Arabidopsis thaliana: one gene and its partners. The protein of the gene in region 4 interacts with the protein of the main gene of each other region in a pairwise test. Each region holds a gene or a part of one and is shown on either strand. Other genes may lie near its edges.

Region 1 (7,643 bases), 2.1 Mb from region 4:
ACCTAACTCCATCGCCTAATTAAAAGAGACACAAGTGTTTTCATTATTATTTATGTGATAACGTAACTAGCGCACAAAAAAAGAGTATTCGAAATAGGATTCACAGAAATAATTCAAATCGTATTTGGATCATGAATATGCACTAATATGATTAACAAAGAGCAAACAAAAATGACAACTTGATCAAAACGTCCTTCCGACTTTGTCTCCCCATATCTTTTTTCTTTCTATATTAAAACCTAATCATGTTATACATTAGGACCATCACATGTTCTTCTCTTTAATCCCCAAACTTCTAAAGAGAGAGAGAGCGAAAGCGAGAGAAGAGCACTAAGCAAAGACTTCTTTAATCTTCTTCTTCTGATCGTCAGTGAGAGAAGACGGAAACAAAACCTCAAAAGTGACAAAGAGGTTGCCTTTCTTTGTGCTGTAGTGAAGTGGCATCCCTTCTCCTTTGAACTTCTTTACTTCCTTCGGCTTTGTAATTCCCTGTTGTCGCCACACAATATTTAACCCATAAGATGATAATTGATGGTCATTGTTTCAAGTGTTTTGCGTGTATGGGGAAAGATATTAGTGTTACCTTGGAACTGATGTCAACTTCGTGATCATCCAAGTGTTTGAATGATTTCTCAAAACCAACTAGCGCCTCAACCTGAAGAAAAGAGATTTGGTGGAATCAGAAAAATGAATCAATTGTTGGTCTATGATGTAGAGATACTGATATAAGAGTAGTTTGTTGAATTTATTTACCAGTGTAATGTTCACGTTCATGTGTAGATCGTTGCCATCCCTTCTGAAACGGGCATGTGGTGCAGTTCTGATTCGGAACTGCGAAATGTACAACAATGGTTTATTCTCTCTGATTTTGATGTTTAGTGAAGTCAAGGATAGTGAAATTTAGGGAAGAGGCTAACCTTAAGGTCACCAGGGTCACCGTCAAGAATGGGTTCGCCGTCTTCATAGAAAGACACTTCCTGAAAAGTATTTGGTATTTAGAAACTAAGATCGGAAAAATCGATAAGCTCATAAATAAATCAAAATGAATTAAAGAGCTACTATGAAACGTAGTTTCGATTGATTTTACAATGAGGGTAGTAGAAGTTCGATACTTACTTCTCCATCTTTCATTCCTTTCTCGATATCAACTGTCACAAAGTATCCCTCCCGTTCGTATTTGACATTAGGGCATTTGTCACAGACCTGAGGGGAAGAAGAGGATACGTCGTTAAACAGTAATTAGGTTGGAACAAGACCATCTGTGACAATTGAACATATCCGTCCTTTACCTGCTCTGTCATCTGTTGGAACATTCCAGGACCAATTTGTCTGTGATAGACCTCGTTCCTGCAGTTACACTTTCTCTTTCCAGGAGCTGGTTTTATCACATTCTTTTCCCTCCATACCTGATAGTTCAATGTGGAACATTCTCACTGAGAACTTAATGCAATTTCTTTTATTTGCATTAATGTAAAAAAAAAAACTGTCTACTCTAACCAAAACATCGCCTGAACTGAACCTAAAGAATGTCTGAATGACACTATGAAATCTAGTTTACAAATTTCTATTGATTCTAGTACATTTGGATCAAAGTAACATTTCCCAGATGAGTAACATGTATTAGTGATGACAATAACATCCTGACACGGAGCTTAACATACCTTCATAGAGCCTCCCATGTACAAATCTTCTAGAGTTGCCTCAAGTTCCACAATTACGTCATCCCCCTTGACAACCTTCTCTTCTTCCTCCATCGAACCTCCACCAAAAAACCTATTAAACACATCAATAATCTCTGCAAATTAGCAATCTGCACCCTTTAAACACAAATGTAAAACATTATCCAAATTTAGGAACTATTCACGCTACAGAGTAAAGTCCCTTCTTTAAACACAAATGTAAAACGTTATCCAAATTTAGGAACTATTCACGCTACAGAGTAAAGTCCCTTAACATTACCAAATTCAATTGTATCCACTATCAATAAATAAAACTCACACGAATTCTATGTTAAGATGGGTTCAACAGGATAGAAGATCAGACAGATCCTAGTGACCCTGTATCTTGTACCTCTAGTTGGATCCTAAAGAGTTACCATTTGCAGAAAACTTACGAGCTGAAGATGTCCTGCATATTCATGCCGCCTCCTCCTCCTCCTCTTCCTCCATTTGCAGAAAACTGTTTAAGTCCCTCTTCACCATACTTGTTATATATCTCCCTCTTCTCCTCATCCGATAACACTTCATAAGCTATTACATCAAACACCAATACGTCAATTCTCAAAACTAAAAACGGGTGAGTTAACAAAGAGAGCAGAATCACACAAGTTGCAAAACGAAAATACCATTGTTGATCTCAGCGAATTTGCGAGTCGCTTCCTCATTTCCTTGATTCTTATCGGGATGATACTTCAAAGCTAGTTTCCTATAAGCTCTCTTGATCTGTTCATCAGATGCACCTTTCGGGACTTGCAACACATCGTAGTAACTCTTCCTAAATCCACAACACAGATTTTCTAAGCATTCACATTTTCCACACATTTCTGAAGGAATCGAAAGATGTTCTTACCCGGCAAGGACGCAGATGGCGTAGGAAAGAGCGAACAGTACGATACACAGCTCCGACCACCGAATCGCCATGGAAACGGAAATCGGATCTCTCCCAAGGATTACTCCAACCTGAGATTCGTTTCGATTTTAACAATGAAACCTCACAGAATGAACAAGAACGAAGATCTTCTTCGCTGATTTTTATGATTGGAAAACTCGAATCACTCTCTCTACTTGTTTTCGTGGAAACGATTCCAAAACTCGAGCCTCGTGGTCGGGTTACGTGTACACTGCAATGCTTAACCAATCAGGATTAAGTCTCTGACGATCGTAACCAATAAATATTAGCCACGTGGATAAACCAACGTCGAATCGCTGACTGTTCTTTTCGTCGACTTTAATGAGTACGACGTCGTTATACTCATATAATCTATACAAGGCGCATTAATAATGAAGCGGGCCTGTAACTCCCCTACGATTGTTATTCAATAAATGTGGCCTAACCCGATTAAAAACCCTAGGTTACTGGGCCCATACAAAATCGAGATTGTTTTATGTAAACCGATCTGGGGAGGCCAGATCCAAACTAGTTTTGCATATTTATGCATTATGGATTTTGTACCTACCATATTAAACTTGTTAATATAATGACAAAACCGCTGCTATGAGAAAATTTATTTCTTTAATCTTTATATAATCTAGACTATCTTAGTCACACATTACGTTGTGCATTGGTTAAACACTACTGGAGTATAAAACAAAAAAAGGTGGTTAAGTAATAAATACATATTTTGTTGCTTATTAATTACATGCAAAGAAACATAGACTGGTTTGGACAATCATGTCATATGTCAGGTCTCTTGATTCTTCGCATCTTCGACGAAACATTATTTACTAGACATACAATAATAACTAGACATCTCACACGAGTGGTCCCGATCCCCCACTAATACCATTTTACTGTCCATTGAAAAATAAAGAAACGTTGCTGACAATAGTAAACTAAATAAAATTGGTGTTTACATATTTTCCACGATACGAAGTAAAATATTGAGAAAGTATTACGCTTATGATTTTATTAATTGTTAGATGATTAACTGAATCCGAATTGAGCAGTATGATTAGAAACAAGTCAGAAATAATAAATGTATAACTAGTATTTAAAAAAAAAAAAAATGTATAACTAGTATTTAAAAACTATAGTTAGCATCTAATTAGAGACACTAGGACGACCCAGCTGGACAGCTGGTTAGTAGCTCTCGACCTATGATGAGCGCCTACGACTTTTGTTTCAACATAGACAAACGTGGCTCGTTCTATCACCTGAATATATAACCCACTCCTCTCTATTCTTGCATGTCACTCCTATAAATATTTAATACTAAACCAATCACTTTTTGTTGTGTCGTCACTTTACTTCTCTTTAAATAATCTCTTTCTCTAGTGATTGACTTTAGGAACAAGTGAAGTGAGTGATTTTTAATAATCGCCGGCCGAGAGAATGGGAAGGGCGCCGTGCTGTGAGAAGGTAGGAATTAAGAAGGGGCGCTGGACGGCGGAGGAAGACCGGACTCTCTCCGACTACATTCAGTCCAACGGCGAAGGATCATGGCGTTCTCTTCCCAAAAATGCCGGTAAAGTTTTTTTTATCTATACAGTACTCTGTCTCTCGACTATCGCATGCATCTCATAAGATAGTTTTTTTGTTTGGTCAAAATTTATAAGAGAATCTATATGCATCGAGAAGTTAATTAATCTTACGTACGGTTCAATTATACACCATGAGTTGTAAAAAAAATTAAAATAGAGACTTGATTTTTTTTTTTTCTATTTAATGTATCAGTTTCTATAAGGAATGCATAATATTTTAAAGTACATAAAGTGTTTATTGATAATTCAGACCAAATTGCCTTCTTGTTTTATTTACATGTATATATGGACTGTAACATCACAAATAAAACGATAATTTATTTCAATATTTAGGAAAAGATGAGTAATCGCTGCAGGCATTATTATGCCTTAATTAAAATCTGACGTACATTTTAAAAAGGGCTAAAGAGATGTGGAAAGAGCTGTAGATTGAGATGGATAAACTATTTGAGATCAGACATCAAGAGAGGAAACATAACTCCCGAAGAAGAGGACGTCATTGTTAAACTGCATTCCACTTTGGGAACCAGGTAACTTTTTCATTTGAACAAAAGTTTATTAATGTCGATATATTTCCAATAGAAAAAGTACACTATCACGTGAAATCATAAATCAAACTGTTGCTGTGTAACGTCGTGAAAAAAAACGTTTTTACAACAAAAAATAAGAATAGCGTCAACGCTAATTAAATTGCAGGTGGTCAACAATTGCGAGCAATCTACCGGGAAGAACAGACAACGAAATAAAAAACTATTGGAATTCTCATCTCAGCCGTAAACTCCACGGTTACTTCAGAAAACCAACTGTCGCCAATACCGTCGAGAATGCGCCTCCGCCTCCTAAGCGTAGACCTGGAAGAACCAGCAGATCCGCCATGAAACCCAAATTTATCCTAAACCCTAAAAACCACAAAACCCCTAATTCTTTTAAAGCAAACAAAAGTGACATCGTTTTGCCAACTACGACAATAGAGAATGGAGAGGGAGACAAAGAAGACGCATTAATGGTGTTGTCAAGTAGTAGCTTAAGTGGAGCAGAGGAACCCGGTTTAGGACCATGTGGTTATGGAGACGATGGCGATTGTAACCCAAGCATTAATGGCGACGATGGAGCTTTGTGTCTCAATGACGACATTTTCGATTCTTGTTTTCTATTGGACGACTCTCATGCTGTCCACGTGTCCTCATGTGAGTCGAACAACGTAAAAAACTCTGAGCCATATGGAGGGATGTCAGTTGGGCACAAAAATATCGAAACGATGGCTGATGATTTCGTTGACTGGGACTTTGTATGGAGAGAAGGTCAAACCCTTTGGGACGAAAAAGAGGATCTTGATTCGGTTTTGTCGAGGCTGTTAGATGGAGAGGAAATGGAATCTGAGATCAGACAAAGGGACTCCAACGACTTTGGAGAACCGTTGGATATTGACGAAGAAAACAAGATGGCTGCTTGGCTTTTGTCTTGAAAGATTTGACACCATGCATATGCCTTTTTCTCCGTTAGATTTTAGCAAAGACCCCACGTGGCAGGATCTGGTCGGTTTGTCAATAGAACATGTTTGTCCCCTAGCGTTCGTTTTTTAGTTTTAAATGTATTTATATTCTTTTTTATTTCTTTTCATGTGTAAATACGATTTTGGCGGTGGCAAATAAACAAAATAAAGTCGATCTTCTTAGTTCAATTACATATAAGCGATCCATTGATGATTACACCATTGATAGCCAACTTAAGTAATCTTTCGACTTTCGTATATATGTATACAAATATAATAAGAAATTTAAAATACAAAAAAAATATAAATAAAATTCAGTTCCATATTGTGAATCAGCAATTCTCACTATTGGTACATAGTCCAACACTTGCTAGTTGCATTCTAGGTGGAAGTATTTCAAAGAAACAAGTTTCTCTGATAGACTAATAATAGACCAAAACCCGAGCAAATTTCAAAGCATGTCGCCAACCACAACTCTTTTTTGTGTGTAAATGTTCACTGGTAAAGTGGTAATTAATGAACGTTTTGAATTTTGATTAAAAGCTATAAGACCATCTCCAACGAGAGGATGTAATCAAAAAATTGTTGGGCTCTCTTGTTTAATGACAATAAAAATAAATTAAAACTGATAAAAATCAAGAGAGTCGGCTTTCTGGAGAGAGTTTTGAGAATTTGAGAGAACCGTCGATGTGGCAACATGTGATTGGGTTTTCAATTTCAACAAAAAAATAAATGTGTGCGCGTTCTGTTCTATCTTCTTTCTCCTCTCTGCCCAAACGAAATTGACCAAAAGATGCAAAGCCCAATCATCGTTTCTTCTGAAAACTTTTCGCATTTGATATCTTTTCTTTGAAACTGAAATCAAGATACACAAACTGAAACCAATTTGTTCACCAAAAGAAAATAAAAATGCGTGGGTTTCGATTTCAAAGATATTCAGGAAAAGATCTCCGATAGCTTTCGTCTATGGCAACACTCTTTTCAATTCTGGGTTCGAGCTTCGTGGTTTTAAAAGCTTGTAATTTCGTGTGATCAAGCTCCTGCGACGCCGTTTGATGCGATTCAACTTTGAAAATTTGATGAAAAGCCTCTTGGTTATGCTTCTATTGCTCAGGTATTATAGATTATGGTGGAAACTTAACAATTAAGTAAACATGATTGAGTTAGAGTATTTAGGAGCTTGTAAAGCAGAAGGTCTTGGTGATGGACCCATAATGAAGCTGTATATTTATGTTGTAATTGAGGAAGATAATCTGGTCATAATGCTTTCTAGAATTAGCTACTCTTGCCGTAGAATTATTATCTCTTGACGTGGAATTGTAGCAACATTGTCAAACTCTGGTTATGTTTATACTAAGACAATATCATTTATTTGCTTTCTTAGGTTCACAGAGGAAGTATAAAGGGTAACAAGATGAATGTTGTTGTAAAGGTGAACATTATCGGAAGTTCTAGATGGGGCTGAAGCCTCTGCTCGAGCTATGACAGAGGTCGACCCCAAAGGAATTTTCAAGTCCACGGGTCTGTTTTCCTTTTACTGATCACTCTGTTTTTTTTCCTTTAACTTATCTATGGAGTAAATGTGAAGCCATACTAGTCTCATTTGAGCCCTCTAAAATGCAGGCTATGGTAACTATTTGTTTATGCTTGCTCCGTCAACCAATGAATCATTCAGACAAATGGTCATTTCCGATGCAGTCTCTGTTTTGATGCCGAGGTAACTGAGATTACTTATGGTAACTCTATGGTTCTTGATCATGGTTGGATTGACACTTTGAACAAGAAATGGGATTTGGTTCATTGCATTGAGGTTAGCTTAGGTTTGGCTTTTAATAAAGTTTCTATTTGAGTGGAATTGTAAAATAGAATTGATGTCTAGTACGTGTTTGATGAAATTCCTCTAAGAGTGAACCTTAAATCGTGTGTATTAAGCTTTGTTTCTTGATAAACAA
Region 2 (8,133 bases), on a different chromosome or scaffold from region 4:
AGAAAAGTACATATGTAATGGTGGTTTGATTAAAACTAAAAGGTTGTTTTACTTTGAAGACATCAGTACGTTTTATTTTCCCAGTTTGTAAGAAATGACACAATAATTGAAATTGATGTTCCATCAATAAAATGTGATTCACTATCTTGGTTTCCAATGGAACACAAAAAGACCAAGAAAAAAGGTGAATCATTATATACGATAACAAAAATAAGAAAGATTAAAATAAGTTAAGCCTTAAATATTAGAATTAAGATAAATTACGAAAACACGGATATTACATGAAGTCTTAAAGATGTTGACCTCGAGGGGATGCATGTTGTGTAAACTAGAAAATTGATTTTTGGAGTTTTTCTTCTTCTTATTCGTATCAAGTTCATTATTACTTTCATTTGTCAACCAAGAAAATAGTTTTAATATCACTAAACTTATAATAAAAATAAAAAATATTCTTTTTTAAATTGGGTGAAAAATCCAAAACATCATTCTTTTTAAAACATGGAAAGTATAAATTAACTCTGAAACTCATTTCTATTTTATGTAGACTAGGGTATAGGGCTAACAAAAATTGGTCTCATAATAGATATCGAACAAAAGACACAGAACCTAAAGCAATAACAAAGGAGACTAATAACCACAAATTTTTCTCATATAGAAAAAGTTTACATATTCTCCATAGCTATTTTTTCGAACAAATTAAGAGTCAAATGCAAAAGATTTTAAAAATTTTGTGTGCTTTCAAAGATGAAGTTTTTAGCGGTTAACCATGACATATAAATTCGTAATATTTTGTAGTTGTTTTTAAAAATATGATTGGATTATATAATAAGTTTTACCTTGTTTTCCACAACTCATTGAATAAAGAATTTGTCACATAAACAATACATATTTGCAACTGTCATAGTAAAAATATATTATCAAATCTAACAAAAATTATGTATATTATGAATAAAATACTCTAAATTTAAAGAAAAGTATGAATCCAACACTATCTCTATCTTAGTACATATATATGTGGACTAATGGTAGTTAGTTAGAGTTACTCTTAAGTTTTAAGCGATAAAGGAATTTTGTTTTGTTTTTGACAGAAAAATATGTTCTCTAGTCACATATTTTAACGAAAAGTTTTAAAATAGCTTATCTAACAAAAAGCAAGTGTACAACATAAAATCCAACTTTTGGATTTATTTCACCACTTTCGGACACAATTGTAATAAGAACGGAAAGTTTCGAAAAGGGACAATAAATCAACTAAAGACGAAAAAGGATTAAGGTGAAAATCTTGATGCCGTTGACTTTTGTTCTCAACGGCCATGATTGAGCGTGTGATGAGTATAAGAGACCAAATTATGGCTATTTCTAATAACCCCAAAAAATAAATTGATTGATGAGTTTTTCTTCATTTGATATGTAATTATAATCACTTATTCCATTTCAAGATTTGTGGATATCTATTGATATTCTCTACCACTATCAAGAAGCTAAAAGTGTATTAAGTGCATGTACATTAGCTTAGGCCGAGAAGTTTTTTTTTTTTTTTTTTAAAGGTGATGTATTTGTGGCACTTAGGCTTAGGCATGTAATGTGTGGTGTGAGATGTTGCGCGACTTGCGAGTAACAAAAATGGGTCTCAAATATTGAGGCATGTATTTCTAACGTTTGCTATATATGCCTTTGATGTTCTCTAAATTCTATTTTATATCGTATTTCCATAGTAATATTCAGTAAAATCATGAAATTCGAAGGTTGATATCAGAGTTTATATAGTATAAAGTTTTAAGATATAAATAATCCATTGAAAACTCAAAACATAGGTACAAAATAGCACCATGTACAAATAAATAGCTAAAATAAAGTAATAAAGTAACAAATTAAAACACGTTTAATACTATTCATGAACTAATGTTCAAGTCTATTTAACATTCACATTTTTCCTTGCTTGTGATCTTCTATATAAACTTAAAATTAAACATGCATGGTTTCCTGATAATAATAAGATGTTTAGTTATATTAAAGAAAAAAGATAGTAGCTCTCAAGACTTAAGGCGGAAGCATAACCTTATTTTTTTTAGGTTGGTACCACAAGAGACCACAACTAAACATTTGGATGAATATAGGTATAACAAATCTCTTATGATATGTATATATCTGGCTTATATATGAATGCATACTCTACGAATGTATGTGACTGCTGACGACATTGGTGTTAGACTGTTGATATAATTATATGAGGCAGTGGATCGAGATTTGAGAACTACTTAAGTCAAGATTATCATACCGAGAATTCAAGATTTAGGTGACACATATTTTGGGAACCTCATTGGCCCATACACTAAAGAGGCGGTCATTCTTTCTTTATAACTCTAAACCATATTTTCCAACCAAAAACGGTCGATGTTAAGCTTTAATATGATGTTCAAGATATAGGATACGAGGGAGAAGATGATCGCTAGAAACTCCACAGCACCATTTATCTTCCTCTGTTGTGGGGATCACATTCTCCTCATTTTTATTTTTCCATTGCACCAGTTTCCACTATAGAAATTTTCATCAAATGTTAGTTAATTAATCATATCTAAATATATTGAATACTATTAAAGTATATCATAAATTCGTATCGAGTATTTAATGAATCGATGATAAAAAGTAAAATCAAAATAAAATCTCCCTTTATGGAAATTATACCCTCGAAGATCCTCTCCCGTCCTAAATTTTTCAAAAGACAACAAATAAATATATAGTAATCAAAGCAAACTTTTTCACTAAACCGGCAATAGCCGGTGTAATTCACGTCACTTCCGGGACAAAAGCGTGACTGGACACCGGCAGACAAATCACATCAAATAAATAATAGTAATATATTTAATTCCTCAGACAAAAAGGCTCTTCCACTTCTTATCGAATTACAAACATTTCATGTTATTGTTTGGTTATATATATAGAGAGACAAAGCTCTTAACTCCTTTTTAATTGCTTGAACAAAAAGCAAAACTCAAAGGAATTTTCTCTGTATTTTTTTCTATCTGCAGAAAATTAAAGAAAAAAAGAGAAAACTCAAAAACCCACATTTTTCCTCTGTTTCCAGCTTTTCTTTATCTTTGGAGTTTGGTTTCTGGAGAAGACAAAAGTTGTTGTCCTTTTTAAGAGTTCGAGATCCTGCAGAAATTAAAAGGGCTCTTCCCGGCTTGGATTCCTAAATATGGGTTCAGAGTATAAGCATATATTGAAGAGTCTCTGTTTAAGCCATGGATGGTCTTATGCTGTGTTTTGGCGTTATGATCCCATCAATTCCATGTAATTTCTCTCTTTTTTCTTTCGAATGTTATATGCATGTTCCTGTCTTGGATAATATTTGCATAAAACTAGTTTTGTTTTCCGTTGATTTAGGCAAAAGACTGAATTGCATATCCTCTGGTTTTATATGTGGCTTCCCTACTTTGGTGTCCATAAATGTAATTTAGTTTTGTTGAATTCCATCAGGATATTGAGATTTGAAGAAGCATACAATGATGAACAATCAGTCGCACTAGTTGATGATATGGTTCTCCAGGCTCCTATCTTAGGCCAAGGGTATGCTTTTACACTTCACTCAAATCTTTTATATATCTGTCTCTGTGTTTGTGTTTATATATCTTCAATATACTTTTCTTTTGATGAAATTAGAATTGTGGGAGAAGTAGCTTCATCCGGAAACCATCAATGGCTGTTCTCAGACACATTGTTTCAGGTTTGTTCACTTCTTTTTCTTGGTGTTTGATTTTTCTCATCTGTGAGCTATAATGTATGTCGAAATATAGTGACTGCATAGAACATTTCATGATGAAGAAGAAAAAAGATTTGATATTCGTGCGTTTGATTGTTTTGCAGTGGGAACATGAGTTTCAGAATCAGTTTCTCTGTGGCTTTAAGGTAATTTATATTTTGTCTTCTCTCCAAGTTTAAGGATTCATATATCCATTTTGAATCAGATTCTTATACGGCAGTTTACTTATACACAGACTATCGCAATCATTCCACTAGGATCCAGCGGCGTTGTTCAGCTAGGATCTACTCAAAAGGTTTGCATATATAATTATATAACAATGTTTTCTTGTTGTGGAAGTCATGGTCTAATTACTTACTATCAATCTTTAGATTCTTGAGAGCACAGAGATATTGGAACAAACAACAAGAGCTCTCCAGGAGACGTGTTTAAAGCCACATGATTCCGGTGATCTCGATACTCTGTTTGAGTCACTGGGAGATTGTGAGATTTTCCCAGCTGAATCTTTTCAAGGATTTAGCTTTGATGACATCTTCGCTGAGGACAATCCTCCTTCTTTGCTCAGCCCTGAGATGATCTCCTCTGAAGCAGCTTCTTCCAACCAAGATCTGACCAATGGAGATGATTATGGGTTCGACATTCTCCAGTCTTACTCTCTGGACGATCTATACCAGCTGCTCGCTGATCCACCAGAACAGAACTGCTCTTCCATGGTGATCCAAGGAGTTGACAAGGATCTTTTCGACATTTTGGGGATGAATTCTCAAACGCCTACAATGGCTTTGCCACCTAAAGGACTCTTCTCAGAGCTCATAAGCAGCAGTCTTAGCAACAACACTTGTAGTAGTTCTCTCACGAACGTGCAAGAGTACTCTGGTGTGAACCAGAGCAAAAGACGGAAGCTTGATACATCATCGGCGCATAGCTCAAGCTTGTTCCCTCAGGAGGAGACAGTAACAAGTCGGAGTTTGTGGATTGATGATGATGAGAGATCAAGTATTGGAGGGAACTGGAAGAAGCCTCACGAAGAAGGTGTGAAGAAGAAAAGAGCAAAGGCAGGAGAAAGCAGGAGGCCGAGGCCTAAGGACCGTCAGATGATACAAGACCGTATCAAGGAGTTGCGAGGGATGATTCCAAATGGAGCTAAGGTAAATTGAATAATAATATAGTTTAGTTTAGGGCATCCAAATTATAGATTAACAAATGCATTCTCTAATAAGTTTCGATATATATTTAAACAGTGTAGCATAGATACGTTGCTGGATCTGACCATAAAACACATGGTGTTCATGCAAAGCCTCGCCAAGTATGCAGAGAGACTCAAACAACCATACGAGTCTAAGGTAATGAATCAAATATATCCATTCAGTAAGTACACAAGTGTTTGAGTATTGATGAGTGAATGATGTTTATCAGCTGGTGAAGGAGAAAGAGAGAACATGGGCGTTGGAAGTGGGGGAAGAAGGAGTGGTATGTCCGATAATGGTGGAGGAATTGAACAGGGAAGGAGAAATGCAGATAGAGATGGTGTGTGAGGAAAGAGAGGAGTTCTTGGAGATAGGACAAGTGGTGAGAGGATTGGGATTGAAGATATTGAAAGGAGTGATGGAAACAAGAAAAGGACAAATATGGGCACACTTCATCGTACAGGCAAAGCCACAAGTCACAAGGATTCAAGTCTTGTACTCACTTGTTCAGCTCTTTCAACACCACACCAAACATGATGATTTATTATCATAGTATAATACCTACCACTTTGATTTTCTTTCTTTTTGTTACAACAACAACACAAGAATCTGTTGATAAATAGTAGTAACATTACATCAAAGAAGATTGTATGGGCTCGTGGAAAAAAAAGAAGAAGATTGTATGGGCTTTAAAACATTGACTAAGACAAAGAAAGAAGGCCCATTTAAAGAAAAAAGGAACGTAACGACACCGTTTTGGGTGGATAACAGTTAACTGACTGAATCAGAAAATAGATGCCCGTTATCCTTGACGAGGATAAAGGGGAGACACTGTATATAAATAAAAAGTTGAACAAAGATCAAATCCTCAATCTGTTTTTAGGGTTTCGAGAGAGAGAGAGAAATTGATTTTTGTTGATATTTGTGAAATTTGGTGGCGAAATTGAAGCTTCTTCATCGGTCGTTGTCTAAAAGCAATGGTGGATGGTTGATGAATGGAGGAGATGCTCTTCTTCTTCTATCCAATAACAATAATAAGAGACACGACGCTGACACAAACGCAGAACCATCTCACCACCGTCATCATCTCGGAGATGGCCGCCACACTCCTCTGTTCCCGATCTCGATTCCGATCGGCGATCGACTCCTATTGCTTCGCCCGTGAGGCCTTCTCCGATCCAATCTCCTTCCATCTCCTCACCCTTCTGTAACCACCAATCATCATCCCTCCTTTCTTCTTCTTCTTCTTCTGCTTCCGGATTATTAGTATCATTAGGTTAGAATATCTGCCATGGAAGAGGCTGACTTCGTCCAGAAAGATCCCACTGGTCGCTACATTAGGGTACGACGCTATCTGCAATTTCCATGGTTTCTAGGATAACAATGTCAATCTATAGACTTTTCCTCGATAAGATTTATATAAGTAATAGCTACGTTAATGGCTTGGAAGGTCACTTTAGGATAACAATCTTCTTCTTTCTTTCTTCAGTATAATGACGTTCTCGGGAGAGGAGCCTTCAAAACTGTGTATGTTTGTTTGTTTATACGTCCTTTACTTTTTCATTGCAGTGCCTATGTTACTCTGATTGCTTTTTAAGTATTTTTCTCATCTCTTGTTGTTGTTGTTACCTCGCCGCGTGTAGATATAAGGCATTTGATGAAGTCGAAGGTATTGAAGTTGCTTGGAACCTCATGAGCATTGAAGATGTCTTGCAGATGCCTGGCCAACTTGATAGGCTATATTCCGAAGTCCATCTCCTCAATTCCCTTAAACATGATAACATCATCAAACTCTTCTACTCTTGGGTTGATGATCATAACAAGTCCATCAACATGATCACTGAGCTTTTCACCTCTGGTAGTCTCACCCTGTATGTCTACTTACTCCTCTCCTCTCTTCTTCTCTTTTCATTATCTCTTATAATATATCTACGTCTGCCTTTCCATTGATTGTCATTTCTCTTGGTCCAAAGTTATCGCAAGAAGCACCGCAAAGTTGATCCCAAGGCCATCATGAACTGGGCAAGGCAGATTCTTAAAGGCCTGCACTATTTGCATTCTCAGACCCCTCCTGTAATTCACCGTGACCTTAAGTGCGACAATATTTTTGTCAATGGAAATACCGGAAAGGTCAAAATTGGAGATCTTGGGCTCGCTGCTGTGATGCAGCAACCCACTGCTCGAAGTGTGATTGGTAATAATACTATTAAAACCTCTTTAAGTCTTGTTGGTTTTAGGATAAGCTTTTCTAGAACTGAATATATTGAGTATGTTTTTCAGGCACTCCTGAATTCATGGCGCCTGAGCTTTATGAAGAAGAATATAATGAACTTGTCGACATCTATTCTTTTGGCATGTGCATGTTGGAGATGGTAACATGTGAATATCCATACAGAGAATGCAGAAACCAGGCTCAAATATACAAGAAGGTTACCTCGGTAAGTCTGACCTGATATATATAAGTCTTACATTTCTCTTCGACACAGGGATCGTCCTTGACCATTGTTGCATTAGCAGGGTATAAAACCTCAATCTCTCAGCAAAGTTGATGATCCTCAAGTTAAGCAATTCATAGAGAAGTGTCTTCTCCCAGCTCCTTCTAGACCAACTGCTCTAGAGCTCCTGAAGGACCAACTCCTTGCAGTAGATGGCGCCAAGGACTCCACTCTTACTGCTTCATCAAACACAACATTCAAACCTGCAATGCCACCACAGTGTGAATATCGTCCTATGGATGTTGAATATAAGAAGAATACAAGTGTTTCCATCTGCTCTTCTGCTAAAAGCAGCCAAGAATGCGCATTGCTCCAGACCATGGAAGTCCAGAGGGTTGCTGAAAGTACCGAATTCAAGCTGAGTGGAGAGAGGAGAGATGATGTGGCAGCATCAATGGCTCTGCGGATCGCGGGCTCATCTGGTCTGTTTCACGATATCTTATGGCCATTTTCTTTTTCTCTTCTCTTGCATATTTTCGAATTGCTTAATGACAGTATAAATTTTATATCAGGTCAAGCGAGAAAAGTTGATTTTGACTTCAATCTGAAGACAGACACAGCAAGAGCAGTTACAGGGGAGATGGTTGAAGAGCTTGATCTGTCAAGCCATGAGGTTACTGTGATAGCTGAGATGATAGATGAACTGATAATGAAGCTGAAGGCTAATCGAAGCCTGCCTAATGCAAAC
Region 3 (9,389 bases), on a different chromosome or scaffold from region 4:
TGAACAAAGAGCTGAAGAGAGTTAAGAACAAAGGTAAAGTTTTTATGAAAGACCTCTTAATAATTCAAAAAACAAAAATTTTTTAATGAAAGGCCAATTCTCATTTGCTTGAAGTAGTTAATATGCTCGCTAGAATAATGTAACTTAAACTTACCTCATACACTAGAATAATATACTTATAATACGTTTTCTCAAACCTTTTAAAAAGAACTACCGTGAAGGATAAAAAGGCTTAATTAACATTGACATTCGATAAAGGATATAGCGAAAAAGGACCTTGATACAATGCATTAAATAGTCAAGATGCATGCTAGTTGTTTATTACTTGACGCATCAATGGTTTGAAAAAACCATTTTTGATGATGATAAATTGTGTGACAGTTAATCTCTATGGGCTTTATTACGTTCATTAATCAAGACTCTATCGGAAGCAATCTGAACAACGGACTTATTAATTGTCCATATATAAGAGTTTAGCCTTAGCAACCAAAGAGATCTTCAAATATGTGTTCGACTGATGAATCCATATAAGCTCATAGGTGGCTTCTGATTCTATACTACACCTACGTACTTATACTGGGATGGCTATTTTTTAATTCAAGAAACCAAAGAATTACCAAGGTAGTCACAAAAAATCCAGAAATCGATCTTCTCGAATCATGCATGACCTGAAGCATTGTGTTAGTAGCCTCATATCTAGTATTCTATCCTACACGAACATGAGTAGGAGCTTGAAAAAGTGGCTTAACCTGTGAACTCCATAGATGATATATTGTTGTAGTACGATAGAGAAAACGTCTAATATGCTATTGATATGTCGTTGGTGAATCCAATATATAATTATCTTGTCTTTGCTGAAATGAACATAAGGGTCCATTGGAAACATAACATGATTTATGAGCGAAAAGCAGTGTCTTCTGATAGATCCTGCCTTCAACACATAGATATTTCCTTACACGAACTTGCCACTTATACTCTAAAAAATAAGCATAAGAGACTTAAATCCTTCATGTTGAACTCTCTGCGCAAAACAACAAAAAGAGATTCAAAAGAGTTATTACTAGCTATAGCTACGATATACCAGCAATGTAGAAAAATGATTCATTTCTTTAACGAACAAGGTAGTATCAGCCAAGGACGGCATGAAACCATAAGTACGCACGACATATAACTTATGCAGTCTATAAATAAGATGTGTTGGTAGAAAATTAGAGGTGTATTTAAGGTAGATTCATGCATATCTCGTTTTTCAATTAACCATGCAAGAAAACATTGGTAACATCCATTTCTGTCACTTCCGATCCCATCCATGAATAGCATCAAATCTTAACAACTTTACACTAGTCAGTTTGGAAAATGTTAAAAAACATTAGTGAAACACGTTCAATATATATCTCTCAAATTTTGCTTTGGCAAAAAAAATATCTCTCAAATTTTCAAGTTTAGAGACTTTTATAATGATCAATGTGGTAAGAATAATTACTAGTTTACTTACTATAAAGGTATGTATATAGTGTTTTGTACAATAACCAAAACAAAAGCTAAGTAAATCCATCTGTAGCAAATAGTTGTTTTCTTTGCTTCTGCTTTACTATATAAAAGATTCGCTAAAAGTGTTTATCCAACAAAAAAAAAGATTCGCTAGAAGTGAAAAAACATTCACTCTAGTAAGAAAAGTTTGCTATCAATAGAAACCTATCATTTTTATATTTTACAAAATATGCATATGTTCTAGTTACAGTATCAAAGAAAAAATTATCTCATTTTCTAAATTTATCAAAATTAGCTAATCATATCATATTAGAGGATAATGGGATCTTGGCTCATTTCTTTTCCTCCACACAAGACAAATCTTGCTGCATACCTTAATAATTTAGATTTCCTATATAAATTTATTTAGTTAAGAAAACCTATGTTACCTAGTATACAACTTTAATTTATTTTATTTTGGTCACTGATAGTATACAAGTTCTGGTTAATATTTACAACTGAAAAAGGTTACACCGTTTATATAAAAGAATATATACATCTGTAGCCTAGTGGGAAATCATCTCTAGTAGACTGTTGATAAAGTATTATTGGAAGCATATTTTAAAAGTGAGGAAGAAAATTGAAGGGCCCAAGAAAAATATAATGAATTTTAGTGAATCATAATGTGCTGTCGATTATCCCATCATAATCTATAGAGTGGAGAGATGGCTAAAGCAAGACACAAAGATGTTCATGCACCTTTTGCAGCAAAGTTTAGGTACCTCAAAAGTGTAAATAAAGCATTTTTGAGACAACAAACAAAAACGCAGTTTTGAGAATTTGATGTTGGACTAAGTTTGATCCACTAATTAGTAGTATGAAGAAAATGTAAATATTAGGAATGGATTAAGACATCCATTAGAGATTATGAATTCACATGATAGCACATTATAAGGCTGTTAACAAAAGTATTATAACTAACTATTATTAGCTTTTCTTCTATAGGCCTCACGTTTCTTAATAAAGAGTGTGTTTTATTGAAAGTAGAGCTTCTTGTGTTTTTTTTTTTAATAATAAGCTAATTATATACATAGAGTTACTAATCAAAGTAACATAAAGGTACTTGTAACATGTGAAGCTTTGTTGTGTACTGTTAAAGCTGTTGATGGACCGGTTCTTTTTACCGGTCTTGAAATCCGTGAATTGTTTGAACTCTTACTGGTCGAGAATAATTTTAAACAATTTAACTAAATTTTTTACAACTCCAAAACTGAATTAAAATTAAAAAATTCCACACAAATGAAAATTCGCAACTAATGTACAAAACATAAAGTTGAGAAAAAAAAACACACTTAAAAATCATCATCTCTGGTTTAGACTGACTTTTTAGTTAGTCATAGCGAGCCTAAAATCCTTGAGAGCGGTCCGCTCGTAACCTCTATATGAATCAAGCTTTTAACCAGCCCGGTTTATTAAACCGGAGCAATCCGGTACGGTCAATAATTTGTGTCATTACATTGAACAGCCACCAGTAACCGGTAAAGGCATTGTAGCTTTGATACCATCCAAAATAGTCTTAGAGTTTCCTCCACATTTCATTGTCTGCTCCAAAATATTCACTAGTTGCATGAATATTTCCATCCTCGTCACGTCGCGACTCGCCTACAATCCAATATCGACCCGGTTTCAGTTTAAATAAGATACATTCTAACACAATCTCATCTTTCCAAGTTAAACAACCTTGTGTAACTTATATAATATACCTCAACAGTGAAGCGAGCCCAAATCTTGTCTACTCGAGTTTCGATGACTCCCTTCAAGATCGTTAACCCTAAGCTTCTGATCCAATCTGCGATTTCTAGAAAGAATCCTCGTTGCTCGCATAACATCTGTTACAAAACCAGAAAACGTTCGATCAAAACCGAGATCTTGAGTGTTTTTTATTAAGAACCTTAGGCAGAAATGTTACCTCGACTTGGAAAATGCGAGGCGGGTTTATATCTTCTACGACAATTGGACACACCATAGACTTTGACCCTACTTCGAAAGCCCATGTTGCTCCTCCACCGTCCTCTTTCATAATCTTATAACAATACAACAAACGTTAGATCAAGAATCCATGAGAGACACCAAAATATTATTGTTTTATGTTATACCTTGGATTCCCCGGTTTGCTTCAGCTTATCAGAATGCTTGGAGACATTTTGCAAGAAGAGCATGTGCTTGATTGTACGTTCAAGGAGTGCATCAATGCTACACTGTTAAATAAAAACCACATGTACTCTTTGTTAGTAATAACCTTTCTTAGGGATTGTTTAATTTGCCAAGAACAGATAAGTTTTTCACTTACTTTTGCACCGTTTGGTATTATTTCACGCAGCTCTTTGACACGATCTTGGATCATTTGGCGATCTTTAGGCCTTGGTCTTGGGTTCTCTCCTGGTTTAAGCCTTTTCCGGTTATTAGCCGGTTTTGCAGTTTCATTCTTGTTCACCATCCTTGGACTGCCCTCACGCTTCAAGCTGTGCGCTTGTTCAACCCAAGAACTTATCTGAGACCCGTAGACCGATGATGGCCCCAATGGTTGCCCATGTTTCTTCTCAAATAACTGGCTACCTTGAGGGCTACTGTGAGACGGCGTGGTAACCGAAGAATTACTAACTTTAGTCAAGGTGGTTTTGCAGGACTCGGAAGTTTCGTCTGAGATCTGCTTTGTGGAGGAGCAAGCACCCGAGACCACGGCATCTAACAGATGATCTGTTCCTGAAAGTTCATACCCCGAAGAACCGAACTCAGGGTCCATTTCTTGAATGATCCGAAAGTCGGATAACTCTCTAGTGAGTACTTCTGTTCTCATCTGTGAAACTCCCCAACTGTTGTCACAACCTTTGTTCTTATCATCCAAACCCAACATATCAAACAAGTCGTCGCTTCCAAGCGAGCGTTTCGAACTGATGTCTTCACATGGGATTTGTTGCTGCTCTGCTGCATCCACATTAGACATACAAGAGAAGTTTTGATTCAGCCACGCATCTGGATTTGAAGGTACTGCAACTTCTCCAGCTGTTAGAAATCCTGTTGTGCTTTGCCATCCTCCTTCATGTTCATCCACAAGATTACAGGGAGATTCTTCAACCATTTGATGATCTGATGATCCAGTGGAGTTGAAATGTTGTTTGCTAGTTTCAGCTACGAAAGCCGAAGATTGGAGGATCTTATGTCCTTGAGAAGGTATTATCCGAGACACTGGCACTCCAATAAAATCAGCAGCAGGTTCATATGTTCTGTAGTTTTCAGATAAGAGAGCCCCCGGAACACATCCGAGCTGCAGGATAAGACCCTTCACGTCATTCACAAACCCCAAGTTCTCCATAATCTGAACACACAAAAAACAATTCACAGTTAAATCAAGAACAAGAATCTCACTTCACATAACAATGTAACTTGAACTTACAGGCAGAGAGGAACCGAGCTGAACAACACCGTGAGGAACAACCGGAAAAACTGCAACAGTCTGAAGAACAAACAAAATAAGCACACACAAACAGTTCTTATGAGCTTGAACATATATATACACTAAAGAAGCCTAACTTAGGATGTTCAAAACATGAAGAAAGTATCAAACCTGAATACCAGCAGAGAATTGGAGAAGCATCTCATTAATAACCTCGGGTGGATGAACATCGCGGTTAAAACTGTTAGCTAGAATCCATTGATGATGTCCAGTAAATGCAGCTCGGCCAACTAGACCTTCACCTACCAAAATGATTCGATTGTTCAACATCATTCGGTTTGTAAGCAACTGAACTTTCTCATTCCCTTGTGTATCAACACCAAGTCCACAAAGTCTTCTAGGATTCGAGCTCGATTCGGTTTCATTGTAACATTCCTCCCAAATCAACAAGCTGCACAAAAACAAGTAAAAAAAACACATCAAAAAAAAAAAATTAGAATACACATGACAAAAATATGCAACAATCGTTTAAGTTAGAATACCACAAAAAGACGATTACAAAAGATTTTGGGCTAAACAAAGACAAAACGAACAAAGACAAGAAATAAAAATTGAAATGACAAGAGAGTTAAAGAACTTGAACTCTTTAGACAATTCATAAACAAATAATAAGGATATAGTTATTGTCGACAAAACAACTACAAATCGAAAGATTCTTTAAGACAAACAAGATCAAACCAAACACAAAACTCCAAGAATTAAACAGAGATAAATAATTCTAGTCATCCTCGAGATCTGAGTTTTAAACCCTTATCAAAAAATTCTCAAACTTTAAACTAACAAACACTGAATATATTTGACTGAATAAAGTTTGACACTTTATTAGAATTAGGAGAATAAGAGTGGTACCTAGAATTTTGACAGCCAATTTTCCAGAAAACAGCATAAGACCATTGATTATTAACACACATAGACCTTAAAGCTTCTCTTAGTAAAACTCCCATAGCTTTTCTCTTTCTCTTCTCTCTTCTTTAAGCTCCAACAAGAACAAACTTTTTCACTTGCAACAGTGCAATTTCAAACTGCCCAGAAGAAAAAAATCGAAACTTTAGGTCTAAAAACAAAACTTTTTAACAAATCTACAACAATCAATAAAAACCCATTATTACATTCTTTAAGAGGAAAATGGATTTGAACAAAGACTAACTTCCACGGCAAGATCCTCTTCCAGCTTGTTTTGTCCTAAGTCCTCCACTTTGTTTTCTTTCAGGATCTAAACTAAAAGCGATCATACTCCGACATGCCATTACTTCCGGTAATAAGGAAGAGAAAAAAAAACTCAAAACCCCAGAAAAGAAAAATACAAGAAACTAGTTAATCTTCTTCACAAGATGCTCCAAGCTTCAAGCTTTAAGATTCCAGTAACACCAGCCATTGATAAAACTTGAAGAAAATTAGAAGAAGATGGAGAAGAAAGCAAATGGAGATTATTTGTCTTTGTTTTTTCTCTGCTTTAATGTTTCTTTTCTCTGCTTCTTGGTGAAAAAAAGATTGAAAAATGAGGAAAAAGTACCATCTTATTAAAAACAAAGAACACGATGAATTCGAGAAAGGGTATCAATGTTTAGTAGAAATTACAGGATTGTGCCACTGAGTGGGGTAGTCGAAGTCTTTTGTCTTTTTCCGATGGTGCTAGACGAATAATTTATTGTTTTTTTCGTGAGGTAATATCCTAAAAGTTTGTTTTTAGATAAAAACAAAAGAGATAAAGAAAAAAAGTGTACCCTCGGAGATAAATTAAAAGACGTTCCTAAATATAATTATTAAAAATATATATGTATATATATATATTAAAATATTTAATAACGGCATAAGTCTAGAAGTTAGAGGATTTGTAGGATTATGGATTGTCAATAAATAAAAGAGATTTTCATTTTCTGGTATTGCTTCCCGTACACACAAATAATAAATACACATAAGTTCAAGGTGTTTAATATTGAGCTTATATTTAAAATAGGCATTTTAAATAAAGTTATTTCAAAATAGGTATTTTCCACAGTTGAATACAACAGTGTCGATTTATTGCTTCAATCGGGACAATTTTGTCCCTGTCTTTTTTTCCTTCTCTTCTTCTTCATCGTCTTCTTTCTTCTTCTTCTTTATCGAACATAGTTGCAAAATCTGATTAAATCGATTTCTTCTTTGTTTTTCAAGCAAACTTAATTTTTCTTTTTAATTACACAATACTAAACCCTAAGATAATATATAGGGAACCCAATCGAAAAAATTTATAGATTTTATGGAACTTTAGTTCTGATTTTGTGGAATTTCGGTTCTGATTTTAGAGAATTTCAGTTCTGTCCACATGACTACGATAGGCTGTGTCCATGGCGGAAATAAAGAAGCTTTCTTTGTTGCGACTTAACCTTCGTAAGCAAAGTTGGAATCTTTTCCCACCCAGAGTCTTCCTATACCAAGAATAAATCGGTTCACAAATAACAATGAGTTGAAACCGGTTTTTGAATATCGTCTCACCTGTCTTTTTCAAATTACCAGTAATCACCACAAGTCCATTCTTGAAATGATGAAACCGGTTTAAATCCCTCACAATGATCTCTCTCTCAGTGATTTTCCATATAAAAACTTGGATTCTTGAAAATCCGAGTTGTTGTCTTTGCAGGAGTGGCGATTTAGAAGATGATGCATATATCGCCATTGTTTCAATTGAATATAGGGAACACACACGATTTATTGCTTCAATTGGTGATGCAAATATCGAATATAGGAAACAGACACGACTTATTGCTTCAATTGGGTAAAAGATAATGCAAATGAGAGGAGGATAAGGATGACTTTTCACAAGAGAAAAGTACCTCTTTCGAAAATCATGTAAGGAAATACCTTAAAATAAATATATAACCAAGACAAATGCCTATTTTCTAATAAACTCTTTAATATTTAGATTATTTTATTATTTATCATGTTAAATTAAATTCTGAAAAACTCATTAACACTTTAATTTAACATCAAGCAATTCGTAATTACTAATTTAAAGATTTAACTTAGTTATATACTGATATTTTAGTGGGTGCAAAAAGGTCCAAACCATATTATTTTTTAATAGATTATTAACTACTTTTACTATGTACTAAGTTTTTTTTTCCCCATAAAAACGATCTATAATTACTATGATATTTTTAACAGAAAAACTATGAACATTATACTGAATCACTAAAAGAACATCGTAATACTTTGACCACAATAAAATAAAATAAAGATATAATTTGAGCATTGGGAGGTTTTTAGAAGGCACCACACCGAATGATTTCAAGTAATCTTGACAGTTTTTTTAAATGTAACTGCCAGTATGTTACAAAAGGATAATGAAAGTTCTGCGGGAAGATGGACCGTAGATAGCCTCTTATTGTATGGTTTGTACAATTTACAAGTTTAAAAAGAAAAATCCGACTGAGTGAGATTTTGTAGTGAAAAACATATTATTTGTGTTCATGATCCACGAAACTAACAAAAATACAAAATAGTTCACATGTCATCAATCACGAACGATCAATTTATCGGTTGTCGACCAATATATCAGTCCACAAAATCACTGTTTTTCTTAATTGATACTGATTTTAAAATTTAATCAGCATAGTTATTACCATTAAATAAATAAAAAATACTGATAGCAGAATTTTATGTAAAGTTCTGATAAATCATATTTATGAATATTGGTGGTATATAGCACATAACCATTGGTAGAGACATTTCATGTGATGCCATTCTCGTCCATGGTCAAATAAAGACAAATAAACAAACACTCAAAGTTTTGTAACGTTGATTTTTTTTTTCTTAATGTGTAACGTTGATACCATGTGAGAACACACATAACATTTATTGAAAATTTGTTTCGTCTATGTTTCTTGTGGAAAAAACATTTGCTATATACCAAATGAATATAGACACATCCCTAGTAACTTAGATGGTACATAAACTATAGGTGGTAATAAAGTAAATATTTGTGGTAGGCTGCAACTTTCGAGTGAAAACATAATATAAAAAAATGAATTTTTGTTTTTTGTTTGTCAAAAAACTGATTTTCATTTGTTATTAACAAGAAAAGGTAGATGAGAAATTGGGAGAAAGAAAAAAAAAGAGATGTTTTAATGCTTAGATGTCTCATAAACCATCGAGGTGGAATTAGTAGTTGTTGCTGTCTTGATGACGTCACCGGTGACAATTTGCCATTCACTCTCTGAATTTTCACAGAAGTGGCAGTGCCTTTTTTACTATCAGAGAGACCCCTAAAGACAATAGAGGCCCAAACTACATTCTCTTTTCAATTGTTTTTTTTTTCTTTAGCTCAACTTCAACTTAATATTAATCCAATAGATTCTCTTTTCAATTACATTCGCTGAATATATATATATATATATATATATTTGTTTAAGCATTCATTTATAGT
Region 4 (7,441 bases):
GGAAAGTTTCTCAAAAAAAAAAAAAATATTTTAATTAAAATAGATACATTAATTATTATTTAATAATTGAACTAATAGTATGATGACACTTGTCCAAATTGGATGAGAATAATTACTCAAAGTTTCTCGGAAGAGAAACTCAACTCTCCTTCTCTCCTACTTTTTCTCTCTTTTTTCATACTTTTTTTTTTAATTATTATTTTTTTGGTTGGGTATCTCATTGAGATACTTCCAATGGAGATGCTCTTACATTGGGTAGCAAACAAATCCAAAAGCAATGAATGAAATGGGAGAAAAGTAGGAAAAGCAAAGAATTCTTATTCCTTGATTCCCTCATCTCCTCCACTTCTTTATAAGTCTGTAGATTCGTAAAGAGTCTAAATTATAAAAGCTACATTTTTTTTTTGGATAAGTAGATGATTGCATACGCACTGAATTCCTAACTATATGTGGAAATTTTCCAAGAGGAACTATGGTTGGGTCAGTTTTTTGTTTTTGTTTTAGACAATTGTTATTGGGTCTCAGTTTCTGAATGTGAATCAGTTCTTAGCCTGGCCCAATACAATACTTACTAGTGGATATCGTTTCGTCTTTCACCTTGTTACTGGACCTTCAGCCGAAGACTTGTCGCTTTCTTCCACTGTCATAAGTAAAGGTCAAATTATTTCTATTTCTAATGTCATTTATACAAATATATGTAGAACATTATCTGTTTTTTCTTATTAGATACTACTCGAGCTAAATCAAATTGGGCTAAACCCATTTAACTCAAGACGCAGCTAACCTAGCTAACAGTCTTAACACTACTGCTCACATTAAAGAGTGATTGCTCTTCCTTTTTGTCAACATTTTAGTGTGTTGTTAGTGATTGCTCTGCTGTAAATCCATATTCCAGAAGAATATACAAATTCAAATTGTACTTTGTTACTATAGCTTATTTTCAAAATGGAACTTTAATTATTCAGTTTTTGTGAAAAGCTAAATTTATGTTTTCTTTTTGGTCGAGAGGTTGAGTATCGAGGAGACACCAACTCCATCTACACCATCACGCTTACTAGACATACTTTCTCGATTTATATTTTTGCTTTACTCTTTTTTATTTCTTCAAGCTCAATATGTTATACTCTCTAGTATAGTCTCCCAAACTGCAAAAGCCTACACATTTCACGTCAGAGTTTGGAGAAGTTTTAAAATGTCCAACCCCTTAAATGGTCAATAATGACAACAATTCAAGAATTATATAACATAAAAGTCTGTAGTTAATTGCTCATATTTTTCATATATACTAACCTTAGCCATCTCTCGACCATTTATCATGTTTCAGCACCAATCAAAGCTTTACTTAGACCACATCTTCTATTTTCTCTCCAAACAGTGGAGCGATGTGAATTTATCAATTTAAAATACAACAGCTATAAATCCATTTATAGCTAGTTGAAGAATGTGAATTCGTGCCTTACTTGGTGAAAGAGTAAAGAATTAAATCATAAATAATAATCCTTAAAGGGTATTCAAATGTAAAATAAAAGAAAAAGGAACTTCAAAATCATCCGATGTCAGCACAGGAAAGTGAAGGCACTGTGGTATCGAGATAAATAAATTAATCAAACATGCATAAGTTAAGAAATTCACCCATACATCACAATGAGTCTACTTTATATATTAAGAAATTAATTCATCCCCACAATCCATATTATAGAGTAGAGAAAAATAGAAATGCTTTTTGTCTCATCGAAGAATGGCCCCATCAATTCTATCCTTTTCTCGTTTCTATTTTTTCACGCCTTTACCCTGCCTCTTCATTGTTTGTTTACTCTTTTTTCTAATCAAATAGTAATGTTTAGGGATACAATTTAGTACTCATAATATTTTAGCTTTGCAAATTTTATGAAACTGCAAATAGTTTTTAATCTTAAAAAACATTCTGTCTTGTGGTACTGTTTCTTGTGTTACACCTTCTCGCAAATACGGTAAAAGTATTACCTCATTCTCAAGCACTAATCCGTCCTCCACATTTACTAATAACAAATAGTATATTTATTTACATTAACAGAAATAGGTTTTCACATTTGACGAAAAGATTCTCCAGTTTCGTCATACCTACTCTGTTGTGAATCTGTGCTTGCTTTTTCCATGTGCTCCAAAAAACCTAGAAGTCTAGTATACTAAATAAATTTGATTTTTTCTTAATATATTATATACAATATGATCGATTCATACGAAGGAAAAAAGGTGGTCAAACATATATAGATAAATACAGTAAATATAACATTGGTTAAAAATTTCTTCAAGGAAGACATAAAAACAAATGAAGGTACAAAAATATTCAGAAAGATACGAACAAAAGGCAGAACTCTTTAGGGGACAAGATAACATGAGGTAGCTTTGAAACTCTAACACTTCTCCATATATTCTTTCATTAAGATTCTACAAACAGCTTCTCTTGACTGTCCTGCATCGTACGTTCACTTTATATACACCATTTCATGATGCTTTTAAGTTCTAAAATACATATACTGTTTTGAAAGTCTTGTTTCGCTGCAAGTACTTTACCCAATCACATCTCTTTGTTAGATTCTTCTGTCTGTACAAATATTCCCACAATCTAATAATCTTCGTCATCACCCTATACTTTACGTACCCCTAAAATTTGATTTAACTTGTACAAAATTATAGTTTCCTTTTCTTTTTTTGTATTTTCTTCTAAAAGAATCGGAAAAGAACACACAAATTCCTACTTACAAGTTACAACACATGTTTACACCCATTACTCAAACTTATAACTAAACCCATATAAAGTCTTCTTTTTTTTTGAGAAAAAAAACAAAAGATTTGTGGTAATTATACTCACGTTAATTAATTATATAATAAAGTTAAACCCTAAATAATTGCTCAAGTCATATCGAGATCAGACCATTATGATGTGATCCAGCGCACGACGTCGTTTTAACCTTTCTTCCCCACCACCACCACCATGTCCCACCATCACCGACTTGCTTGACCGTTCGAGTAAAGACTTGAGTGCGTTCTGTAGAAAATTCACCGACTGGACGCCGTGATGCTCTTTGTCAGCGGCCACAACGAGAACGTTTCTTGTTCGACCACCGACTGTTGTCATGTCGGCAAAGAGAGTTTCCATCTGAAGAGATTTGAGTGTCTCCATGAGATCTTTCAAGAGCTCTGGCCGGTCCTCGCAGCAAAACGATACCTTAAAGATTATCCGTCGATCGTCGCCTCTGGAACAGTCCTCAATGTTGAGTACACTGATTTCGTCAGTCTCCGACGGTATTGTTTCGTCGGTGATTTCTAGGGTTTGTTGTTTTAGTTCTTTGACTCGTTGAACCACTTTTGCTAGTAGTGTGGATTTGTCTGTCTGTGTAAAGAAAATTAAAACAAATAAAGGAAACAAGGAAAGAGAAAAGGTCAGATCATTAGAATTTGTCTTGATTCGAGAAATTTTGTCTTCATGTTTCAATTGTTTTCAAATGAGAAAAAAAAAAGCTCGATAACTTTCCCGACAAAGTGATTATCAGCTTCAGAGAAAAAAAGGGGCTTGTAAGCTTTTTATATCTCCTCAATTTTCTAGATATTCCCAGTACTTGCAGCTTTTTTATTATTCGAAAACATTACATTTGACTGATGTTAGTTTTAAAATGGTTCATTTTCTATAAGTGATATACTTCCAATATTCCACCTTTCTCACCAATAAATAAAATCTTAGCTAGACACTAGACTGTAGTAACGTATATCACACAAGCAAGATTAATCTGATTAAGACAAAAAAATTGTCATTTGGATATAAAGATTTAATTAAAAACACAAAATTCTGGTGAGATAACATCAAAACTTTAATCCTCATTTCATAAATCTTTTCCTAATTAAATTATATGCATGTTTAGACGAGTACTGAAGAATATGTAACTTTAGAAGTTAATTTCATATCTTAAATAACCCAAAAGAATTAATAGTTTCATCATGCTTAATCTTCCATTTTTATCTTCTATGCTTTTTATAATTTTCCGGTTCAAGTCTCTATCTAAGTTTCATTATAAGTTTAGAGTAGAGTAGTGAGATAGTAAAGTAAAAGATTTGTGTACCTTGGAGTTACAAGAGAGTAACTTGCGGAGCTTGTTGAGATGGGAATTGATTCTTGCTCTTCTCTTTCGCTCAGCCTCTTTATGGTTCCTCAGAGAAGCAAGAGCTTTGTCTTCATAAACCGTGGCAAAAGGGTCAGACGACGACGTCACGGTGGTGGAAGTAGACGAGGCACATAATCCTCCGGTGAGGAAGGCATAAAATATTTGATCTGAAACCTCTGGCTGCATTTTTTTGTTGCTGTTGTTTGCTTCTCCGCCGCCTCCCTTTTTGTTGGGTTTGGAGCTTTCTTTCGGTGGGTTCTGTCCTAAAAGAATATGACTATACTATAATTTATACGAAAATAAGCTTAGAGTGAGAGGAGATGTATGTACATACATATTTTTTTTTGTCGTCGTATGTACATAGATATATACTTAGGTGTTTGTAGAAATATTTTAAAAAAAAAAATTTGAAAAAAGGTTTCATTATTTTTCCGCAACCGAACGATTGCAATTGTATGTTTCATAACATTTTTAATAGCTCTAGATAACAAAAAAAATTGGGTAGTGAAGGGTGGCAACTGGCAAGGTATTCCAATTTTTGTTTACAAAGTTATCTTAACATAAAAAAGAAATATTTTACAAAAGCAAAAACTTAGAAGAAATTTTTTACTATATATCTTTTACCAAATAATATCATATCAAACTTTAATAAAAAATTTGTTAGTATATCTACACAACACATCAACAACTTCTATGTTTCTTCTTCTTTAAAAGGGGATTTATTGAAAGCACAATTTTGATATTTCTCATTTGCATTTTTATGTAATGGATTTTTTATCCTTTTCTATTGAAAAGAAGGAAATTAATTGGCTTTAAGACTCTGTTTTCTACTTGGCCCATATAAACACACCGAGGGATATGATTGAACCAAGAAATTGAACCAGAACATTAATCAGATCGGTTTAAGTTCATACTAACTGGTTATCTTCTTCTTTGTGGGGAAGTCGAAGGGTTTGTGAGATCTCATAACTCCGGTGAATCCTCTTCGTCCAGACTCCAGACTCCAGACTCCAGATCTTCAGAATCTACCTCGCACGAAATCTCGTAAGTATTAGTTGGAAATTATATTTATTAGTTATTGGAGAAACTTGATAAGCAATAAAGAGTTTTGACCTAAACAAGTTATTTGTAATTAGGGTTTTAAACATAGTCTAATGTTTTTTCGACCTAAACAGAGACAATGACAAAGAAGGTTTGTTCATGTATCAACGAGTTGCCCGACGATTTGATCTTGAAGATTTTGTCATTCGTTTCTACTAAACATGTTGTAGTGACAAGTCTTTTGTCAAAAAAATGGAAATCTCTTTGGACAAGGGTGCCTATACTCAAGTACGATGTTCGGGATCACACTAGATTTGAACGATTTCTCGACAAGTCTCTGTTCTCACACCAATCTCATGTTCTAGAAAGCCTTCATGTCGAATTAAGTGTGACCCTGTGGAATAAAGACATTGGACCATGGATTAGAACCGCGCTTCATCATCATCATTGCCACCTCCGTGAGCTAGAGATAGATGCTTGTATTGTCCATACCGTATTACCTCCTGAATTGTTTACCTGCAAAACACTTGTTGTCTTGAAACTCAAAGGTATAGTGATCGATGTGGAAGCTCCTCTTACAACGGTCTCTCTCCCATCCCTAAAAACTCTGCACATTGACCACTCGAGTTTATTCGACTTTGGATCCCTTCAAATGCTTTTATCCAATTGCAATTTTATTACTGACCTAATGGTCATAAGAGAATCTCGTTTCTTTTTTGCTGAGTACGACGTTTCTTGGTGTAAAACACTTATGGCCTTGAAACTCGAAGGCTTGAAGGATGTGATAAGCATTTCTTCTTCTTCCGCGGTATGTCTCCCACTCCTCAAAACTCTCCATGTTGCCCGCATGGAGGACTTTAACAATGATTCCTTTTGTCGGCTTTTATCCAATTGCCCTGTTCTCTCCGACCTAACACTGGAAGAAAAAACCAGTGATGTTTTGTTGAATTTGGATATCGACATGCCTTACTTACAAAGATTGTCGATTATCACAAGAGTCGATGCAGATTCCAAGCATATTTTTAGTTTGATGAAAAACTACACTCGAAAGCTTGCGATTATCGCACCTTCTTTCAAGTACTTCAGCATTCAAGAGTTGGCATATGCAAGCCGTTACCGGTATATTGTACGGGTTAGGCTCGGAGTTCCATCAAAATTAGAGGTAACTTTTTTCATTCCATGTCGTTTCTTTCTCGTGTTATATCTTGTTGGAACCATCACATAAATGAAATATCGTGTTTTTTTTTTCTTTTTTTTCTAGGATGCAAGTACCTTCAGTCGAATCGTGCATCTGGAGCTGAGCATATGTAGTGAAAGATCTGTGGAAATGCTTGTAGATTTGCTCCTATGTTTCACTAAATTGGTGGTCCTCAAGCTTGAACATGTATTCAGTTTTCTCCCTTTTTTCCTTTACCATTGTAATTTATACTAGTGTTTAATATTCGACCTCAATGATCTTATTATTAATAGCAGTTTTACCATTTTTTCTCGTGATCGCAGGTTTACTTACTAACCCCGTTGGGTCGTTGGGAACCGCCAAGTTTGGTTCCCGAATGTTTGTTGTCCAGTCTTGAAGCTCTAGAGTGGAAAGGGTACACAGGGAGATACGGAGATAAGGATCTGGTGAGTTATCTCCTGAACCATGCGCTTTGTTTGAAAACGGCAAAAATCTTCTATAAGACATATCCATGTGAAGTGGAAGCGAAGCAACAGATTGAAGAGGACTTAGCTTCGATGCCAAGAGGTTCAAAGTCATGTGAAGTTCTTTTGAATGAAATTATAAGAAACAAAGCAAATTGTTAAATGATTGCTAATATTTGGAAGAAACTCGCGGACATCTTATGATTTGATGCTTCACTAAATTCAATGTTTCATTAAAATTTCTACTGAGGTGTTTCACATTCTCTTGTGTTTAGGTTTTTATTGGCCTTCTGTTTCGTTGATCATTTGAAGCTATTCAATGAGCCCCGTTAGGAAATCAATTTAACGTAAACTGACTGCCATTGATAGGACCTAATTTGCATTTAAAAAAACAATGACACTAGAGACCTTTAATAGAAAACCACGAACTAGACCAAGTTACAAATTACAAGAGCAAGACAACAGAAATAACAAGGCTTTTGAAAATATTCAGACGCAAAATAGATCATAAAGGGATATAACATTCGTTTCTTAAACAACCAGAAAACATACCTCGAGTCCCACACAAAAAAAAAATTAGAACATAACACAAGAATTTATATGTAAGAGATGCAAACCAA

The links.
Region 1: the proteins of AT3G56770 (region 4) and MYB11 interact in a two-hybrid assay, tested with the Arabidopsis thaliana proteins (one large-scale study listed by BioGRID).
Region 2: the proteins of AT3G56770 (region 4) and AT1G64625 interact in a two-hybrid assay, tested with the Arabidopsis thaliana proteins (one large-scale study listed by BioGRID).
Region 3: the proteins of AT3G56770 (region 4) and LHW interact in a two-hybrid assay, tested with the Arabidopsis thaliana proteins (one large-scale study listed by BioGRID).

The regions. Positions count from the first base shown.
Region 1 is NC_003074.8:23,150,708-23,158,350, forward strand, and holds MYB11 (myb domain protein 11), read left to right. Parts: upstream 1-3,922; 5' UTR 3,923-4,050; coding exon 4,051-4,183; intron 4,184-4,599; coding exon 4,600-4,729; coding exon of another isoform or gene 4,730-4,733; intron 4,734-4,895; coding exon 4,896-5,664; 3' UTR 5,665-5,878; downstream 5,879-7,643. Other genes in the region: ATERDJ3B (DNAJ heat shock family protein), read right to left, coding at 331-489, 584-655, 754-831, 918-977, 1,117-1,203, 1,290-1,406, 1,662-1,773, 2,114-2,249 and 2 more; AT3G62615 (uncharacterized protein), read right to left, coding at 4,653-4,733, 5,115-5,147. UniProt on the Arabidopsis thaliana protein: Modulates overall growth by reducing the proliferation activity of meristematic cells and delaying development. Flavonol-specific transcription activator involved in the regulation of several genes of flavonoid biosynthesis.
Region 2 is NC_003070.9:24,013,679-24,021,811, forward strand, and holds AT1G64625 (Serine/threonine-protein kinase WNK (With No Lysine)-like protein), read left to right. Parts: upstream 1-2,977; 5' UTR 2,978-3,199; coding exon 3,200-3,294; intron 3,295-3,480; coding exon 3,481-3,570; intron 3,571-3,663; coding exon 3,664-3,727; intron 3,728-3,867; coding exon 3,868-3,909; intron 3,910-3,968; coding exon 3,969-4,058; intron 4,059-4,134; coding exon 4,135-4,911; intron 4,912-5,004; coding exon 5,005-5,106; coding exon of another isoform or gene 5,107-5,151; exon of another isoform or gene 5,152-5,179; coding exon 5,180-5,503; 3' UTR 5,504-5,593; downstream 5,594-8,133. Other genes in the region: WNK10 (with no lysine (K) kinase 10), read left to right, coding at 6,242-6,292, 6,440-6,477, 6,594-6,821, 6,924-7,144, 7,231-7,388, 7,468-7,867, 7,958-8,133. UniProt on the Arabidopsis thaliana protein: Transcription factor that may regulate root development.
Region 3 is NC_003071.7:11,647,434-11,656,822, reverse strand, and holds LHW (transcription factor-like protein), read right to left. Parts: upstream 6,465-9,389; 5' UTR 6,094-6,464; intron 6,007-6,093; 5' UTR 5,929-6,006; coding exon 5,834-5,928; intron 5,376-5,833; coding exon 5,096-5,375; intron 4,985-5,095; coding exon 4,925-4,984; intron 4,847-4,924; coding exon 3,821-4,846; intron 3,729-3,820; coding exon 3,627-3,728; intron 3,554-3,626; coding exon 3,440-3,553; intron 3,360-3,439; coding exon 3,234-3,359; intron 3,133-3,233; coding exon 2,983-3,132; 3' UTR 2,680-2,982; downstream 1-2,679. Other genes in the region: AT2G27229 (Pentatricopeptide repeat (PPR) superfamily protein), read right to left, coding at 7,266-7,640. UniProt on the Arabidopsis thaliana protein: Transcription activator that regulates root development; promotes the production of stele cells in roots. Coordinately controls the number of all vascular cell types by regulating the size of the pool of cells from which they arise.
Region 4 is NC_003074.8:21,026,294-21,033,734, forward strand, and holds AT3G56770 (basic helix-loop-helix (bHLH) DNA-binding superfamily protein), read right to left. Parts: upstream 4,462-7,441; 5' UTR 4,326-4,461; coding exon 4,098-4,325; intron 4,033-4,097; coding exon of another isoform or gene 3,924-4,032; exon of another isoform or gene 3,835-3,923; intron 3,374-3,834; coding exon 2,909-3,373; 3' UTR 2,609-2,908; downstream 1-2,608. Other genes in the region: AT3G56780 (FBD, F-box and Leucine Rich Repeat domains containing protein), read left to right, coding at 5,320-6,342, 6,442-6,564, 6,681-6,983.